Linked DNA regions of Mus musculus. The protein of the gene in region 1 binds, or shares a complex with, the protein of each later gene. Links are inferred from orthologs where the notes say so. Each region holds a gene or a part of one and is shown on either strand. Other genes may lie near its edges.

Region 1 (4,407 bases):
CTCGGTAAGTATCTTCCCAGCCTTCAAATTACAGGCACATTTGAAAACTGTATGTAAACATGATTAAACAAATTGAACTATATATAAGATCTCAAACTAGCAGCCAATTACTTCTGTTTCTTGAAGCATAAATCCTTCAAAGTATGAAGAAAAATACTAACATCCGAAACCAAATTGCATAGGACAGAAACATGGAACAGGAGGAAGAAATGATCTAAGGAAGCTGAGGAGGAGCTAACAGCAGAGTGGACACCACAGGCTCAGAGGACTCCACGCCTACAGAACTCTGTGAGGTGTAACTGAAGACCAGAATCAGAAAATCCTAGTCGGCCATCATTGGGAGGAGAGGCCCTTGGCCTTGTGAAGATTATATGCCCCAGTACAGAGGAATGTAAGGGCCAGGAAGCAGGAGTGGGTGGGTTAAGGAGCAGGGCGGGGGGAGGGTATAGGGGACTTAAGGAGAGAAAACTAGGAAAGGGGATAGCATTTGAAACATAAATGAAGAAAATATCTAATAAAAAAAATAAAATAAATTTTTTTCTAATAAAAAAAAAAGAAAGAAAGAAAGAAAGAAAGAAAGAAAGAAAGAAAGAAAGAAAGAAAGAAAGAAAGAAAGAAAGAAAAGAAAAGAAAACCAAGTCAGGCTTAACTGGCACAAAGACCAGACACCCAGCGGTTATAACGGAGATCTCAGCAACAAAGGGAGGAGGACACAGTAAGGCCAGGAAAGCTACCTTATCACATCTCCAGTGCCCATCCCACACAGTTACCAACTCAATGTGGAAAAAGAAAAAGAAAGTGAACAAACACCATAGCTTATTATTATGTTAAAATGACAGAATCACAGAAAAAAAGAAAAAGAAAAAGAGTAAGAGGCAAGAACAGTGAAGGAATGCATTTATAATTGGAATCTTACAAGAGAAAAGAAACTGAATTCCTAAGACTATCTTTCTCAACAGGACTAAATCCTAGAAACAACTGTTTTGTGCATTTAGACATAGTGACCCTAAAACAAGAAAATAAGTTACATACTGACTTAAAGAAAAACTTCTTTGGGACAACAAAGTAAAAGTCTAAGTGACTTGTGAAAGTCAGGGTGGCATTAGGGTTCTGGACAACATTCTATCGAAAAGCCACTGGGGAAATATGGTTAAAATCTGTAAGTAAATGATAACCAATGTATGAACTGCCAAAGGATTTTATAAATATAAATGCTGTCAAAAATATACAAGCATGTATTTTTCTCATGAACAAATTTCCCATGAACAAAGTCCCCTGAAAAAAAAAAGAATTTCCCCTAGAGAGGAGCTCCTGAACACTAACAAACAGAGGTTTGATGGAAGCTCTGCGGTGCACACAGACAGGGCAGGCTTTAGGGTGAGGTCTGCCTAGTTGGCCATTAGGCCTTTCTCTTTATTTCTGAGGCACATCTAATCAAATTGCATTCTCAATTCCAATGTGCTTCTAAGCTGCATCTTCTAGTTTAACGTCGGGGTTTTATAATTCTTTTCTATTTAAGAAATGAAAATTTACAAATAAGAGATTAATTATATCATAAAATTAATAGATTGTTTTGTTGGGGAAAGGTCATAAAAATAACATTTGTTAAAAGCCTAAGGCATTAGAAAAAACTTTCAGTGATAGACATTTAGCTTTGTACTTTACAGGGATCAAAGTGACAAAGAAATACATCCAGTAATATACATAGCAAAATTGCCAATACTAACCTGATAAGCCCTGTTTATTTGATTAGCGGCCCAACTAGCATATTTGATGTTGTCTTTTTTCATTTTTGCACTTGCTTTTGGATTAGAAGCAATATGACTTGCAGACTAAATCAAAACAAGAAAAAGAAACATCAAAAGTAAAACTCTTTCTAGTTAAGATAATAAAGACATGAAAGTCATAGCTGTAGAGAGTTGATAACAAGTTTTAACACTGAAGCAAAAACAATTTTAAAATAAAAATAATATTGAATGAAATCAATACTCTAAACTTAAAATATAAGTTAAAATGCAGCATAGTCCAAAATAACATGACAAAGAATATTTTTAAAGTGTATTTTAAGTGTAATTACTTATGTATTTACATCAGCCCTTAGAGCTAAAATCTCTATCACTAGGGAAAGATACTTTATACATAACAAAGGACTTTGCTTAGGTTACTGCTATTTCTTGACACTGAAGAATAGCAAAATTCCAATATTTAATTATCAAATATTAACAGAGATCTCAAAAACAATTTAGCATAACTTCCAATATGACCAGGTGAAAACATATTCAGGCCGATAGGAATTATCTAACTTGAACAAAGCAAGTTAACTGAACTCTGAGATAAAGAGGATATTTATCTCTACCTGACTTGTCTTTTACTCTATACCAAGAGCTTTCCAGTTATACTCTAAACACCAGAATAGTCACAAAATTTTGCTGTATCTGTATTCTTATAGCAATTTCTATACATTTATGAAATATTATTACATGTTTGGTGTGAACTTAGGCAAATACAATGGCTGAAAAACTGAATAGTCAACTTCTGGGGCTGGGATCCCAGTTAAATATAGTAGCGTTACGGTCAGCTTTGAAATTAATTATATTTGTATCTCAGTTGCACCATTTGTGAACTTCAGGTAGCAACTGGAGAATTTATTTAAATGACTGATGTGAATAACTACTGATTTAAAATGAAATCTCAGACTCAGAGCAATGCTCTGTATAAGCAAGCGGTTGTTAGTAATCACTGCCACGGAGTTTCTAAGATGGTTGTTTGACTTATTAGATAGTGTTAGCAGCAGTACATCCCCAAGCCACTGGAACTGTTTCTGGTAGAATCAAAGAAAACTTCCTTCCCATTTTTCAGAGGCATATTTTAACCTTACTTCTTTCCTAAAAATCATCTCATTTGTTTCTTCCTATTGCTGCACTTTCAAACAATTCTCTTTCACTGGCTTCAACAAGAAGACATCCATAAAGAATCCATTAAAAAAAAAAAAAAAAGACCAGTGAAATACTGTCAGCACTAATTAGTATACTTGTAAAAAGTGTGTATGAATTTGAGAGAGGAAGGGGGGAACATAGCAAAAGGCAGAAGGAAGTAGAAAGTGAATTTTATCAGAACATTACATCCATGTTTGAAATTCTCAAATGATAAATATTCAAAAATAAGCAAACAGGTATACCACAATTTCAAAGATTTAAGGACCCATTAGAGTTTATTTTCCTAGCGTTTCTGATTGCAACCAGGTGCTCATTTTAGAAATATTCTAAAGCTCTGCAAATTGTCCTTCTTCCCATAGGTCTTGTTAATTGATTTTTCTAAGCTCTTTATGAGGCATACATAAATAATAACTATTTAATCTCACATATAATTTCCAAACTGCTTTTTTACACTTATTAAAATATTTAAAATTTGATATACTATTGATTTTATTTTTAATACTTTTTATTGACATAGCTTAAAATATTAGGAAATAAGTACAATAAAAATTGGCACAAATCCCAAGAACATCAAAACAAATGGACAATATACATTATGCTTTAGTATTTAATACTGTTTAGTTCTGATAAGTCAAATATGCCTCAATTGAAATGTCAAACGGCAAGAATGTACTAAAATTCACAATTATAGCATTTTTTACCATCTTGTCATAATTAACTATGCTCATCAAAAGAATACAAAAGCAAGCAGGGAGAGATTGGAAGGACAGTTAAATGCATTTTAAATGACAGACTCCGTCAAGTGACGTTGAACACGTACATCAACTCACCATGTAGAGCCCAAACAGAGCTCTCATGTTCCTGTTGTTGAGTTTCAGTGCCTGTGCAAAATACTTTCTTGAAAGCTCGAGGTTTTCAAGTCCACCTTGGGTGTATTTGACCTGTTAAAAGTTGCAGATTGCTGAAACCTGTTTATTTTACTACTCTGAAATGTAGCATGTTCCATCATACATAGGCTTTATGTAATGAGAACAGATATTCTCTAAACAAATGCAACATGCTAAAAGAATTCACATTAAGGTAGTTAATCTAAAATGTAAAACACACCCTAGCTCTTGATGAACTATTCTCTCCTCTGAACATTAAGATCTTTGAGTAGCTATTATAACCAAAATGTTGTCACACTAAAAAGCAGAGCACAATTTTTGTATCAATAGTCTTGCTGTTACACAACATTGTATTTTCTATTACATGTATTATAAATCTAGACCTTGACAAATTTCCTATTTTACTTGTGTACTTTAGAAATGAGAGCAATAGTCTTTTTATATTCTTTTATAATGACATATTTGTAACCTTGTGGCATTTAGTTATACTGTGATTCTTAATAGTGTGCAAATTAAACACATTATTTTCAACATGTCAATATTCTAGTTTTCTAGAATATGTATTCCATTATCTTTATAAATGT
Region 2 (5,122 bases), on another chromosome or scaffold:
CGGTATGCGTAATGCTTGATTCATGATTGCTGGATGCTTCAATGCTGTGGGAAACAGGTCTCAGATACTGCTGCTGAGAGATGAAATCTAAAGTAGGCGTTGGGTAAGGTAATTTGCCTTCATCATCCAAATTTAAAAAGGAACAGGGCTGGAGCAATGGCTCAGTACTAACTACTTTTCCTCCAGAGGACCTGGGTTTGAATTTACACTCACATGGCAACTGATAGCCAGGCCCAGGGGAACCCAACGCCCTCTTCTGGCCTCCAGGGGCACTGCATGGTATACAAATAATACAGGCAAAACATAAATATAATAAAAAATTTTCAAAAAAAACTATAAAGAATTTACTGGATAGGAAGTTAGGGACCAGCAAAAGTGGGGCAGAACAGTGGGAGCTCCATGGGGAGGGACAATTAAGAATAAAGTATGAAGCTGGGCAGTGGTGGCACATGCCTTTAATCCTGCAACTCAGGAGGCAGAGGCAGATGGATCTCTGGGTTCGAGGCCAGCCTGAGTGAGTTCTAGGACAGCCAAGGGTACACAGAGAAACTGTCTTCAAAAACCAAAAGGAGGAGGAGGAGGAGGAGGAGGAGGAGGAGGAGGAGGAGGAGGAGGAAGAGGAGGAGGAGGAGGGGAGGGGGGGAGGAGGAGGAGGAGGAGGAGGAGAAGAAGAAGAAGAAGAAGAAGAAGAAGAAGAAGAAGAAGAAGAAGAAGAAGAAGAAGTATGTATGTATGTATGAACATGCCCCAGTGGAACCAGTTACTTTAAATGCTAACTTGAAGTCGTTTCTGCCATCTCTGGGAGCCACCATGAGGTGTGGCTGCATCTGCCCAACTTTCTGAGGCCTGAGTCAGAAAGGCAAAACTTTTTTTTTCCCTGTTACTTTTCAGATGCTGCCCAGAACCTAAGTGTGATTTTTCTGATCCTTTGTGCTTCCTTACTCTTTCTCTAAAGCTGGGCTGCTTGTCTGGGATGAGTCTGACTTCCGTGCTGGGCTTGTCTGCGATCAGTCTGTCCTCTGTGCTCGTTTATAGGGCATGGTTCTTTCCCTTCTTTCCTCTCTTCTCTGGAAAGCACAGCTTGTTTCCTCTGAGTCTTGCCTTTCTTTTCAACTCTAATTAAACCATCCTTGAGCGGTTTTTTTTAACATATTTTTAAATATAATTTATTTTTATTTTATGTGCATTGGTGTTTTGTCTGCATGTATGTCTGAATGAAGGTGTTGGATCCCTGGAGCAGGAGTTACAGACAGTTGTAAGTTGTCATGTGGGTGCTGGGAATTGATCCCAGGTCCTCTGGAAGAGCAGCCAGTGCTTTTAACTGCTGAGCCATCTCTCCAGCTCCTGCCATTGAGTTTAAAATTCTTTTATTAATAAGACTAAGAATCCCCAAAAGGGAACCCCAATTCTCCCATGTCATCTGGCCACTGTGGTCAAAACAGACCCAGACCTACATGGCAGGGCTTGGCATCCAGGTATAATGGCGGGCCTTCAGAGGCCCTCCCAGCATCTGTTTCATTGTGTATGTACAGCTTCAAGAGGTTTACACAGCTTGTCACAGATGACTTAAAATACAAAGGGGTCAGTGGTAGGCACGACCACGCCTTGCTTCTGACTGCTTAGATATGGATATCCTTGTCCCTTTATTTAAACTTCACTCACCCAGGAGACAGGCTTGGGGAATAACAGTGTTTTAACAGATCTCTTTGTCCCTCATTCTAGCATGCTCATATTAAATATATTTTTTTCTTCTTCCTGCTATTAAAAAATATATTTTTAGCTGGGCATGGTGGAACACAACTGTAGTCGCAGCACTCAGGAGACAAAGGCAGACGATATGAGTTCAAGTCCAGCTTGGTCTCCAGATCGAGTTCTGGGACAACCAGAGCTACACAGAGAATCCCTGTCTCAAAAAACAAATAATATAATTAAAAAAAATTTTTTTTACTGTAATAAGACCTCTGCATTTAAAAACTGAGATAACTTCAATGTTCACTGCAGTAACTAAGTTACAGTTTGTTCATATTCATACTGTACAGCTGTTAGGGTGAGGTGGATCCCGAGATGGAAAGACATCGAATGTACTGAGTGCAGAGAGGGAAGCAAATGACAATAGATCGAACTTAATTAACCCATAGCAAATGCATTTGGTCTGTAGAGTATATTTATATAACATATACTTTTTAAAGTCGCTTTTAAGTTACTGGTCGCACTTCCTCAGTTCTTACAGACACCTCAGTCTGTCTGTCCCTCCCCCACTGCAGCTCCTTCAGGGCAGGATTCTGTCATATTGATCTCTGATACCTCCTCACTCCTGTACTCAGTAATATCTGGCATACAGCCCTGCTGCCAACACTTGATTAAAAAAAAAAATAAAGGTAAAAGGAACGACTTTGGTCCATCTGTACCTCACCCACAATTGCCACAATTATCTCTCTTCCCACCCCTAGCTTCCCAACTCACCTCTGGTCATCCAAAACCGCATTGGCATGGTAGTACCCAGCTACCACCAGACCGGCCTGCGCGCCCCACACATCCACCTGTCGTGAGAAAGGGGCCGTCAGTAACTAAATCATGCCTCTGGCTCTTATCAGTGCACACCACGGTCAACGGACTGCGCATGCATTTAGGCTGAGGGTCCTAAAGGGGTCGGTGGGGTGAAGAGGGACAAGGGGTGGGGTTCTCAATGTCGCAACCTGGTTGAGCGCGACCTCCAGCATGACGGACAAGGCCAGATGGCTGTGGAAGAGGGGCACACAGTCGGTGAGGCAGAGGCATTCTCCGGACCCCGTCGCGGGAGCCAGCAACAACCCGTTGACAGCAGCGTGTGGGTACCGAGAGGCGTGCAGACACATCTTCCCGTAGGCTCGGGCGGAGATCTCCACCTCCCCCATAGCGAGCGGGGCCTGCCGGCACCCGAACCCCCACTAAGGCGGCTCCCTGACCACCAGAGGCGAGCTTGGCCTCGCCCTGTGCCTCCCTTCTCACTTGGGTGTAAGATGCCCCTGACGCCTGGCGACCACTCTCTGCAGCCCGTCCCTAGCAAGGTAGAATTCGGTCCAACTGCAACGGGAGGCACCGAGCTCCACCCCCTCTAATCACTCCCCTCTCTAGCCACTCCCGGGCAGGCGCACTTGCTCCCAGGCCAGCTCAGGGTCATACCCTAACCAAGAGTCCCGCCTCCGCAGTACTCTCTGATAGGGTGTGACATTATTATTTTGCCCAATCCAAAATTTAAAAAAAATAGTCTTGATTTTGGCCTGGAGCAAATTGGAAAGAACGCACTAGGGCAAAGGAAAGAAAATTGCCCACAGACATATTAGCTAAATAACCTAGTTTATGTTTTGGGTTTTGCTTTGTTCTGTTTGAGGGAAGGAGGATACCACAAAGTCTCAGCCCAGGCAGGTCTCAAACTCACCGAGGTTTCTGCCTCTGTCTCTGAAGTTGAAAGCCCTAGACCCTGTGCCACCACACCCAGTTCTGACTTGGCGGGTTATTGCAAGTTGGCTTCGCCTGTTTACCTGCTCTGCCTGCCCCTACGGGCTTCGGGCAAAGACTGCTAGGTGAAGTACTCACTCCTAGCTGGGAATGGTGACAACACTGTCACCTTGTCCCTGCACCATAGATAAGGAGCCTAATCTTCCCAACTGCAAGCCCTGACCTTTGGCTTCCTCATTGTGGTGCAACGTCTTTAATGCAAAGTTCAAGTCCCTTTAGGGACTAAATATGAGCACTGAATTCCAATCCGCCAAACTGATAAGAACACAAAATATTCTTATGCCATATTTTAAAACAGGGTAAGAGCCTTACTTCAAAAGCCCCTTGGAACATCTAACAGGCCACATAGCAGAGGCCCATTGTCTCCACCACCTTCTCAGAAGTGAATCCTAAACTTGCAATCAATCCCACTACTGAGGTAGAGGCAAGAGGATCTAGAGTTCAAAGTTAGCCTCAGTTACATAGTTTAAGGCCAGCCCAGGCTATGGAAGACCTTGTCAAAAAAAAAAAAGGCTCAGAGATGACTCAGCAGTCAAGACCCAATTTCTGTTACCAGCGCCTTATCAGGTGGTTCACAATCAGTAGTGAACTCAGCTTCAGGGGATCTGGTGGCATACATGTGGCATTCGCTCACAGACATATACACACAGATTAAATATAAAATGGAAATCCCAACAAATGTAAAGACAGAAACCAACTGGGGGAGTGGGCAAGAGATAAAAGGTCAATTCCACCCCCAGTACTGTCCAGTAGATGGTGATATGCTCTAGTTTGATGCCTTTTAAAGATCTTTCCTCTCTGCCAGCACTGAGACATCTCAGGGTAACCACATTTCCCCTCAAGCTTGCTCTCAGCTCCCCAACTGTTCCTTCTTCATTCCCATACCACAGCCACAAAGCCTGACTCCTCCCACAAGGGATCCAAAACCTCTACTAGGAAGTCCTCGTGAGATCAGATTAAAATACCCTTGGCATATTCAAATATGTAAAATATGGGTTACCTGCATGGCTGCAGTCTTCTACCCTGTTTTTTTTTTTTTTTTTTTAAGAGCCCTGGTTAGCCCCCAACTTGCTATGTAAACCAGGGTAGCCCTGAACACCGAGAACCCCTTACCTCTGCTTTTGCCTCTGAGCACTGAGAATAAAGGTGTGCAGTACCGTGGCCTGCTCTGCCCTGTTCTTTAGAAGGATCTGTGAAAAACACAATGGACCTCCAGTCCCTCCCTCCTCGACTTCCTGCAACCACTTAATTTTTATTTTATTTTATTTTATTTATTTATTTAGGTTTTTCGAGACAGGGTTTCTCTGTGCAGTCCTGGCTGTCCTGGAACTCACTTTGTAGACCAGGCTGGCCTCGAACTCAGAAATCCGCCTGCCTCTGCCTCCTAAGTGCTGGGATTACAGGCGTACGCCGCCACCACCACTGCCTGGCTTTTTTGTTTTTTATGTGATGAGTGTTTTGCTTACATGTATGCCTGTACATCACATGTGCATATCTAGTGTTTGCAGAGGTCAGAAGAGGGTGTCCAGATCCCCTGGAACTGGAGTTACAGTCAGTTATTAGTCATCTTGTGGGTGCTGGGAATCAAACCTGGATCCTCTGGAAAAACAACTGGTGCTCTTAA

The links.
Region 2: Emc2 (region 1) and Emc9 share a complex: the UniProt entries of both Homo sapiens proteins name them as parts of the ER membrane protein complex. The link is inferred for Mus musculus from reciprocal best matches to the Homo sapiens genes EMC2 and EMC9.

What each region holds. Positions count from the first base shown.
Region 1 is NC_000081.6:43,511,170-43,515,576, reverse strand, and holds part of Emc2 (ER membrane protein complex subunit 2), read right to left. Parts: intron 3,878-4,407; coding exon 3,767-3,877; intron 1,833-3,766; coding exon 1,728-1,832; intron 1-1,727. UniProt on the Homo sapiens protein: Part of the endoplasmic reticulum membrane protein complex (EMC) that enables the energy-independent insertion into endoplasmic reticulum membranes of newly synthesized membrane proteins.
Region 2 is NC_000080.6:55,582,216-55,587,337, forward strand, and holds the start of Emc9 (ER membrane protein complex subunit 9), read right to left. Parts: upstream 3,040-5,122; 5' UTR 2,895-3,039; coding exon 2,697-2,894; intron 2,541-2,696; coding exon 2,464-2,540; intron 45-2,463; exon of another isoform or gene 1-44. UniProt on the Homo sapiens protein: Part of the endoplasmic reticulum membrane protein complex (EMC) that enables the energy-independent insertion into endoplasmic reticulum membranes of newly synthesized membrane proteins.